2 linked regions of the Cricetulus griseus genome follow. The main gene of each other region encodes a partner of the protein of the gene in region 2 in a complex. Links are inferred from orthologs where the notes say so. Each region holds a gene or a part of one and is shown on either strand. Other genes may lie near its edges.

What was found. Proteins that work in one complex are often made in the same cells at the same time.
Region 1: Abi1 (region 2) and Wasf2 share a complex: the UniProt entries of both Homo sapiens proteins name them as parts of the WAVE2 complex. The link is inferred for Cricetulus griseus from reciprocal best matches to the Homo sapiens genes ABI1 and WASF2.

The regions. Positions count from the first base shown.
Region 1 is NC_048595.1:20,138,746-20,143,967, reverse strand, and holds the start of Wasf2 (wiskott-Aldrich syndrome protein family member 2), read left to right. Parts: upstream 1-1,808; 5' UTR 1,809-1,989; exon of another isoform or gene 1,990-1,994; intron 1,995-2,178; exon of another isoform or gene 2,179-2,307; intron 2,308-5,222. UniProt on the Homo sapiens protein: Downstream effector molecule involved in the transmission of signals from tyrosine kinase receptors and small GTPases to the actin cytoskeleton. Promotes formation of actin filaments. Part of the WAVE complex that regulates lamellipodia formation.
Region 2 is NC_048596.1:211,242,732-211,247,309, reverse strand, and holds the end of Abi1 (abl interactor 1), read right to left. Parts: intron 2,592-4,578; coding exon 2,416-2,591; 3' UTR 900-2,415; downstream 1-899. Other genes in the region: Pdss1 (decaprenyl-diphosphate synthase subunit 1), read left to right, coding at 351-491. UniProt on the Homo sapiens protein: May act in negative regulation of cell growth and transformation by interacting with nonreceptor tyrosine kinases ABL1 and/or ABL2. May play a role in regulation of EGF-induced Erk pathway activation. Involved in cytoskeletal reorganization and EGFR signaling.

The DNA of each region.
Region 1 (5,222 bases), on a different chromosome or scaffold from region 2:
TGCAGTTCCCCAGGGGCAACCTCACTTGGCATGTGTTCACCTACTTGTCATCTCTGTTGACCCCTAAGATTCTGGGAACATGTTGGTCACATCCCTGGTCTCACTTTTCCACAAGAATATTGATCTAGCCCGGTGGTAGTGGCACACACCTTTAATCCCAGCACTTGGGAGGCAGAAGCAGCCATAGAGTTTGAGGCCAGCTTGGTCTACAAAGCAAGTTCCAGGACTGTTACACAGAGAAACTCCATCTCAAACAAACCAAAACAAGGGGCTGGAGAGATGGCTCAGTGGTTAAGAGCACTGGTTGCTCTTCCAGAGGACCCTGGTTCAATTCTCAGCACCCATATGGCATCTTGCAGCTGTCTGTTATTCCAGTTCTAGGGGATTCAATATTTATAGGCAAAACACCAGTTCACATTAAATAAATAAATCTTAAACAAAACAATTTGTCCAAACAAATAAGTTTGGACAAGCAGGTTAAGTGCCTGGGCCTGTGAGCTCTAGACATTTGCCTGTCTCTGCCTTCTATAGCTGTTATTACAGGTCGCCATCATCGGATCTGTTGTACCTTTTTTTTTTCCTCGAGACAGGGTTTCTCTGTCTGTCCTGGCACTCACTCTGTAGACCAGGATGGCCTCGAACTCACAGAGATCAACCTGCCTCTGCCTCCCTAGTGCTGGGATTTAAAGGCTAAAGGCGTGTGCCACCAAAACCCGGGAAATCTTTTTTTTTTTTTTTCTTTCTGTTTTTCGAGACAGGGTTTCCTCTGTGTAGTGTTGGAAGCTGTCCTGACACTCACTCTGGAGACCAGGCTGGGCTTGAATTCACAGAGATCTGCCTGCCTCTGCCTCCCGAGTGCTGGGATTAAAAGTGTGCGCCACTAATGCCCGGCTGGTGGTCCTCATGCTTTCAAAGTGGCACTTTACTGACAGCTGTGTCGTTGTCTCGCCACACTCCCTTTCTAAAAAGTAAGTTCAATACACTGCAAAGAGCCCAGAAGACATGACAGTAACAGCGACTCCTGTCATCCTTGCGTAAGAGGCCTATCTCTGCTATACAGACTTGCTCCAGAATACTAACTGAGCCAAACTGGATTGTCACATTGTCACCCAGATGCAGCATCTTGTATTCAATTAGCTATTGGGCAAGTGTCCTCCTATCCCCCACCTAAATGGACTGGAAGCAGACCTGCCTGGGCCTAGTGCCTCTATTTTGTAGAACAAAGTGAGAACTAGGTAGGCTGGAGTTGTCTGAAGTCGGGGAGTGAAGTGACACGTGACAGTGGCCTCTCAGAACTAGCTCCCAATTCCAGGACCCAAGCTCCAACTGGATACCTGTCCTTTAGGGTGAGCTGAAGCCTATGACTCACACTCCCCACCCGACTTTCGGTCCGGCCTGGGACAAGGCGTGAAGGGACATAACTATTTGCAACTCGAGGGGTGTCCACAGAAAGTTCATAGGCTCGGCCCGTTCCTTCCACCAAAAATACTGACTTTTCGGACTCCGATAAAAAGAAACTATCTTTCAACACAAGTTGGACGAGGTCTTGCACTTTCTTAGCTAATATTTTTCTACTCGAACTTGGGCGTCGATTTACCATCATTTCTACCTCCACTCCACTTGGTTTGCCCTAGCCTCTGTTTACTCCGATTGCGGAAGTCCTTCGGGTGGAGCTCCCGGGACACTATCTTTCAATACGTCTTTTGCGTACTTATTTAATTGGCATTGGATCCGGACCAATGGCATAGCTGGAAGCCCGGGGCGGGTGGGGCGGGGAGCCAATCAGAACGGTTGGCGGGGTGTGGCTGCGTCCCGGGGCGGGGAAACACGTAATGGCGGAGTCGGGCCGGTGGAGTGCGGCTGGGGGTGTAGCGCGCTGAGGTGGGCTCCGGCTGTGTGGCGGCGCGCGAGGCGGTGGGCTGGGGCGCACTCCGCGGGGACACGGGCCGGCCGGCCAGCCCTTCATGCCGCTGAGGGCGACTGCTCGAGGTCAGGTGAGCAACAAGTCCCCGCTGGGCGCGTCCGGCTGGGAGGCGCGAGCGCCGGCCGGGCGGCCCCTCAGGGTCCCGGGGCGGGGGCTGGGGGGGCACCGGTGCCCGCTCCGGCTGCCGCTGCCACGGTCCCCGTGCTGTCAGTGCTGTGGCGACACCTCGGGGGGGGGGGCGGCCCAGAGTGCCCTTCGGAGACTTGGGAGGGCCGGCGAAAAGTGACGACCTGTGGCCCTGTCACCAACTCGCCGGGTGCTCTTGAGCAAGTCACTTCCGTCTTTGGGCCTCAGTTTACCACTTGTAAAGAGACTTCGCAGAGGTACGTGAATTGGGTCTCAGCAGTTTCCCGAGGGCTTGGGCAAGTTCTTCTCCAGGCTGAGCCTCAGTTTCCATATTTGGACCACGAAGGGATTGAGGTATCTTTGAGGTCCCTGGCCCGCTAAGCTGGGGAGTGGGTAGAGCACTCTGTGTGTGTGCGCGCGCACGTGTGCACAGAATGAGCCGCAGAGAGAGGATCCTTGGCTGACGGGACCACTTGTGCCAAAGCATGGGTGCCACCCAGATCGTGACGGGCCAGGTTCCTTTGGTCCTTTGAGATGAGGAAGTTTTATACACAGTCGTTCATAGATTCAGAGATGACGAGGACGCCCTTGGAGCCTTTGGGGCTACTATTGTCATTTAAACCAAGCGCGGAAGAGGAAAAAAGCCAAAAAAAAAAAAAAAAAAGAAAAAAAAAGTTTATGGTTGTTCTACTATGCGTCAAACCTTCGGAATACATTCTTGTTAAGATTTTTTCTGTTGTCCTTAGGAGTTTACAGGTGAGGAAGCCAAGTTTCAGAGAAGTTAAGTAACTTGTTCAGGGCCATACAGTAATGCGTGGCAACGTGAGGGTGTTTCCTCTGGGAAGCACCGGGGGGCAGGGGTAAGTCACTGCTGGCTTAAAAGGGAAGTTTGCTTTGTCAGAAGTGGAGGAGGGCTGTAGCCCAGAGATTTGATTTCACTTCTGCTGTGGGGACAGGCGAGGTCTTGAGCTCAGGGTTATTAATTATAAGTCCATCCCCTTTTTTCACTCTGTGACTTAGAAAGATCCATTTCCAACTGTTAAATGTCACTTCGAAGTGTGTCAGAACAGCAGAGAATTCAGTTTGAGTTCATGCAGGGGTCCTGGAGCAGAAAAGTTCAGCTTTTGGTGTACAGACTTCTGGTTCAGGCTGGTACCATTCCAGTGTCTTGTCTCTCCTCTGTAGGAAGGCTATATTGTATTGGGAGGAAGAAACTACCCATCTGTTCGTTTAAATTTCTTTGGGTTCCTCAGGGTTAAAGTTTCAGTAGCCTACCTGTGTTTAAGCGCAGCATTTCTTTCTTTGTACTTCCCTTATCTTTCAGGTGAATGAAGACAGTGGACTTTGGGTAGGAGGAGGCTGGGTACCATAGCCCTTAAGCTTTATAACCCTCAGGAGGCTTGGGTTAATCAAAATAGTAGTTCAGCTGTGAGTATTGTTCTCATCTGTCAATGGTAGGGAGGAAGAGGAAGTTGCCGAGAAAGAGGGCGTTTCTTAGCTGTGGAGCCACTATGTATTTTCTTTGTTTGAAATTCTAAAAGCAGAAAAGCAGCAGCTAAAGGAGGAAGGAAGGGGAGAACTTCTAAATTCTGCTTCCTGTCAGAGAGTTTTGAGGACTGTCCTGGGCTGTGTGGGAGACACTGCTTGCCCAGGAAAAGGCAATTGGCTGGACTTTGAGGATGATATTCTAGATTCTGGAATCTAGAATGAAATAACTTTTAAGTCCTAAATCCTCTCAGGTAAATGTTTGAAGAACATTTTAGTGAGTTCTCATTGTTGATTCATTGTTCCCACCATACTTTCCAGTCTCTGGCCAAATTTTAACCAAGATTTAACTCTGGGTTTTTTTGGCATGATCTGACTCTGCTATTAGAGGACGAAGAGCCACCATCACTTGAAAAATATGTGTTTGGACATTTGTTTATATCTGTTGTTATTTTCTTCCCTCCCCCGCCCCAGACAGGGTTTCTCTGTGGCTTTGGAGGCTGGTCTGAAACTCACAGAGATCTGCCTGCCTCTGCCTCCCGTGTGCTGGGACTAAAGGCGTGCACCACCACATCCCGGCTATTATTTTCTTTTTAATGTTATTTATTTTTCTGTCCTTGAACTGGTATCTTTTTGTGTCTGACTCTCAAATGTTGAGATTACAGACATTGGGCACTACCATTGGATTTTGACATTTAAATTGTTTTATTATTATTTTTTAATGGCTATGAATCACCATATGGGTGTTAGTAACTTGGGTCCCCCGAAAGAGTAACAAGTGCTCTTAACTGCTGAGCAATCTCTTCATCCCCTTAGCACCCCACCTTCTTTTAAATTACCTGCATGTGTGTGAGTATGTGTAACTCCAGTTCCAAAGGATCCAATTCCCACTTGTGATCTCAGACAGCAGGCATGCTCATGGTGCACATGCATACATGTAAGCAAAATACTCGTACAGTAAACACTGTATAGTGGAGTTGATTCTGAGTGTTATGTGGAAAACTTTTTCTTTTCTGTGACATAAAACTTTTTTTTTTTTTCAAGACAGGGTTTCTCTGTATTGCTTTGGAGTCTGTCCTGTAGACCAGGCTGACCTCGAACTCACAGAGGTCTGCCTGTCTCTGCCTCCTGAGTGCTGTGATTAAAGGTGTGAGCCACCAATGCCTGGCTTGACATAAAACTTTTACTTTAGTTAAAATCTGTCTGATGTGCATTTTCTCTTAGGTACCAGAATATATCTTTTAGTACTCTCTCTGTACTAGCTTTTAGATGCTAAAATGACCCTCTCTCCCTTGTCTTTATTTGTGGTGCTGATGATGGAACTCCATTGTGTCTGCTAAGCAGGTGTGATTTACCGCTGAGCTACATCGCCAGCCCTTTCTGTCCCCCCTTTTATAAATAATAATTTATAGGTTCTTTGCTCTCTTTGTTTTCTATAGCTATTGAGAGAAATAGTACCTTTTTCTGAACACCCGAGAGAAAGATGATTTGTGCTAGCAGGATTTTAGAGCTGGTTTGTTTTTTGTTTTTTTGTTTTTTTTTTTTTTCTTCTTCAGGGTTGTGCTTAGTGTAATATGGGGTAATCATTAGTAGATGGAATTTGGGTCAATTTTTCCTTTTCTTTTTTTCCTGGTGCTTTCAGACAAGGTCTATTTTCCATAAGCTTGCCTGGAACTAGCTGTGCAGC
Region 2 (4,578 bases):
CCTACATGATAGCAAAGGTAATCTACAGGAGAACTGAAGACATTGATATAATGATTAGATTTGGAAATGCTGGGGATGAGCTATGTCATTTGCAATGTGAAAGGCATTTTAATATATATAGATACAACTTTTAAAAACTTGTAATGCTTCAGTAGATGTAACAGAAAATGCCTGGCTGCTTGAGAGGCTTCTGTGTGTGCTAATAGAACTAAAGTGCGTTTCCATATGAAATGGGATATAAATAGAAGCAACAAGCCATTTGCTGGAAAGAACTTCAGATTATTAATGGTTTATTGTGACAGCATTCTGGGAGCTGATCAGTGATCTGTCTGTTTTGTTGTTTCCTGTAGAGTGATGGCGTGCAACAAACAACCTACCTCGCCCAGCAGTACTGCCACGAAGCAGTGAGAGAGATCAGGAAACTTAGAGCATCCACAGAAAGGGATGCCCTCATCCAACTTTCTGAAAGTGTGCTCACAAGAGATAAATGACAATTCTTCCTGTTCTTTCTGGCAGCTATTTTACCAGACTGTGCCTAATGAATTTTGTGAAACACTATTTGCTTCATGTGCAGATAACCAAAAATCACTTTAGGAAATAATTTCAACCTTATTGATGGGCAATTTTTTTTTATTGGCAAAGTTTTTCAGAAAACTTTTTAAATGTAATTAAACCAGTGTCATTATAGTCCTATAAATTCTAATCGAGGTATCCTGATGGTTATGTGTGGTCCTGTTTACATTGTTAATGCCCACATGGAAAGCCATTACACAAATAAATAATCAATGTTAAAATTCAAGTGGTTTGTCTTTGTTTCATCATAGGATTAAAGGTCAGAGAATTTTGAAGTCTGTACTTAAATTTAAATCCACATCAGTTATATTTTAACAATATCCAAATTTTTTCATTTAGGAGCATAGTTTATTATAAAAGACTGTAGATAAAATTTAGACAACAGATTATTTACAAATTAAGACATTCTGCTTCAAAAAGAAAAGGCATAATATAGCTATCTGATCACTAATGACATAATACTTCAAAAATAACAAAGGTAAAATATAAATGAAATAGTTGTTGATTTGGTAGGAACAATGGTCTTTAATTTTCAGAAATATTTTGCACTGCTCTCGCATTTACTATGCTGTCATACATCTGTAATCCTCAATACACAGAAACCCACACTTGTGTGATCTACTGTAATATCCTAAGCAGAACAGAATTATATACAAGAGAAATATCCCTCTAACCCTCCCTTAAATCAAGGAGACACACAAAGTGCATGTGTTGCATTTCAGCCACAATACAAACCTGCTTATTACCTGTTTACAAAGAAATACATGACCCACTTTCTTTCCCAATTGTAAAATCTTATGTTGCTAGTGCCAGGTAATGGATTAAATATGCTATCTGCAAATTAATTGCAATCACTTTACAATATGTAAAACGTTTTCCTTCCATTGAACCAGTGTAAATTCATTTTCATTAAAACCGAAGACTAGCGTGGCACCCCTTTGGATTTTTACCTACAGGATGATGTGCTTACTTTGACACAATGTCTTAGCTCCGAAATCTGCAAAATTCTGTGACTTTGCTATTCGGACACATTAAGATAAAGCTAAAAATATTTCCCAGCAAATACAGTGAGAAAATAGAACCATAATTCTGCAATAAATCTTTTGTGTTGGGATTGTGTCCATGCATATGCATGAGCACACACATTTAAAGCAAACCAGTAAAGGAGTGGACAAATTCCCTTGGTTCACTTATGTATTTATGAATGGAAAATTTATAATGTAAATTTCACTCATTAAAAAACTTAGGTACAAATTACAACATTACAGATAATCTTTCGTTTCACATGAAGAACCTAGAGACTCAAGTATAAGTACTCCAGATGTTACACAAATTGGAAGCATCTTGAATTGTTAAGTATCTTTCAATACATAAAATTTTATGCATGCTTTAAACACAGTATTCTTAAAAAATGAGAATTTAAACCAAAAGTATGACCAGCACCAGCATTAAGTTTTCTGTTTTTCCTATTAGTCTGACATAATGTTAGTGACCATGCTGCACTGAAACATGTAATGGTGCATTCTGAACCATGATTTGTTAAACGTAATAAACCACATCCCCAGAATATTTAGGCTGGTCATAAAGTTATCAAGGTGTGAGTACATATGCATAATCAATTACAGGCAGTCTCTGGTATAAACTGCTGTTCAGCAATATGTGAACTGCCTCCAAAATGTATGCTTACAGGTAGACATCCAAATATACCAATAAAACATGTCCTGAAAATATGGGCACATTTTAAACATTAAGACAATTCTGTTAACCATATAGTCCCACAGTATGACGGAGTAATAACCTACATGAAAAGAAAACCAAAGAAAAAAGGAAAAAAATAAAAACCTAATCAGTATAGTGCATGATTGATTCCACATAGTTCCCAGGGAAAAGTCCAGTCACTCGATTGCAAACTCCTTCAAACCAGCCATCATCATTCTTCTTTATGACATAGATGATTGCACCCTCTTTAAAGGACAGCTCATCATCCTTGTCTTTTGTATAATCATATATTGCAACAACTGTGGAAAAAACAAAGTATGACATTGAGAGTACAATCTCCATTTACTTGAACTTTAAAATGTAATGACAAATCTATATAGTATAGGAAAACTAAATATTTTTGTTTTTCAAGGCAGGGTTTCTCTGTGTGGCCCTGATTGTCCTGGAACTCATAGAGATCCACCTGCCTCTGTCTCCCAAGTACTAGGATTAAAGGTGTATGCTGCCACCACCACCACCACCTGGCTGGACTTAAATTTTCCTACCAGTATAAGTAAGTGGCCAACGAAGTTCCTAAACCACTAACCACACTGACAATATGATCACACTAAAGAAGGCACCGAGTTCTAAATCTGAGGGCCACCAAGATGCCCTGACTTTGATCCTTAGAATACTACATGGCGGGAGGGAACTGACAGTTAGTTGTCCTCTGATCTTCATACATACAGGGCCGTGTGTCCCTCCCCCATAAAATAAATGAAGTAATAATAATTTTAAAATCTTGGAATTTAGGTTTTAGTTTTGGTTTTCTGACACGAGTTCTCATTATTTAGCTTAGACTGACATCACACTTGTGGTTTTGTCTCAACACCCCAAGTGCTAGGATTACAGGCCTACATTCCCATAGAACGAAGTGTTGAATTCAGGATTTATTTAGTATTTCTATTCATTCAGACAAATATCCATGGAATATCTAAGCAAAGAATCATTTTACAAGTGCAGTAAACCAGATAACTCAAGCTGTCTATTTTAACCATACCATACATTTATAAGTCTACTTATTCAAAATTCTGTGGTAAATGTTGGGGATATACTCAGGTTTTAAAATGGAAAAGGGACTACTCACTTTTAAAAGTTTATTTTTAATGATGGCAAAGTAAGGGAAAATGCAGAAAGTATGATACAAAGTTCAATATACTCTTCCTTTCCAGTTAAAATATCCTTTCCAGTTGTTGTAGAAAGGGAAAGCAACTTAGATGTACAACTTTCTGCATTATTGCCTTGTGAATTTAAATATCTCCTTTAGTCCATTTCTATAACATAATTCTAAAATTACATGTGAATGGTAAATATATAACATGAATTTTTCAAATTTACTCCATTTATTCTTAGCACTCTTTTTTTCTTAAAATAAGGAATTTTTGAACATTTATGATACATATATTTTCACCCTAAGAAAGATGGCCTGTCTCCTTACTAACTCTAAATTAGTGAAACAGGGAAAGATTACATACTGATCAATTGCCATCATTTCTTTTTTTATAATTTACTTATTTTTATTTTATATGCATTGATGTTTTGCCTGTATGCATGTCTGTTTGTGTGAGGCTGTCAGATCTTGGAGTTATAGACAATTGTGAGCTACAATGTGGGTGCTGGGAATTGAACCCGGGTCCTCTGGAAGAGCATTCAGTGCCCTTAACCGATGAACCATCTCTCCAGCCCCCTCAATTGCCATCATTTATTAAGTTAAATAGGCAGTCTACTCCTTACAAAACAATGTGGTAAGTGGATTCACAAGCCCATTTCTTTCCATTAGTTCTACAGCAAAATCACAGTATGGTGATTATGATCTCAATAGCATATTAAAGCTTAGAGTGCACATGCTATCAAAAATATCCTAGCTAAATAATAACAAGCTAAAAGGATCAAGTGATTGCAAGGGATTAACAATTATTAAGAAAAGCTCTGTAAATAACTTTAACTTTGGTAATAATCTTGTATCTAGAGTCACAGGAGGTGAGATTCAGTGCTGTAGACTGACTTTAAACTGACAAAAGCCAGAAACAAAAAACATTTCATGTTCTTAGATCCTCTTATACAGATGGCTCAGAAAGGTACTGAACCACACTGGTTTCCAGGTTTCCTCTGTAATAGTCTTATCTCAATGTATATACCCCCTCATATAATTTCCCTTACTGCTATTTAACCACTAATAATAATTTGATGTTGATTATCTTGATTAGATCCTGGAGAAATAGAAAGGGTCAAACTCTCCCTTCTATG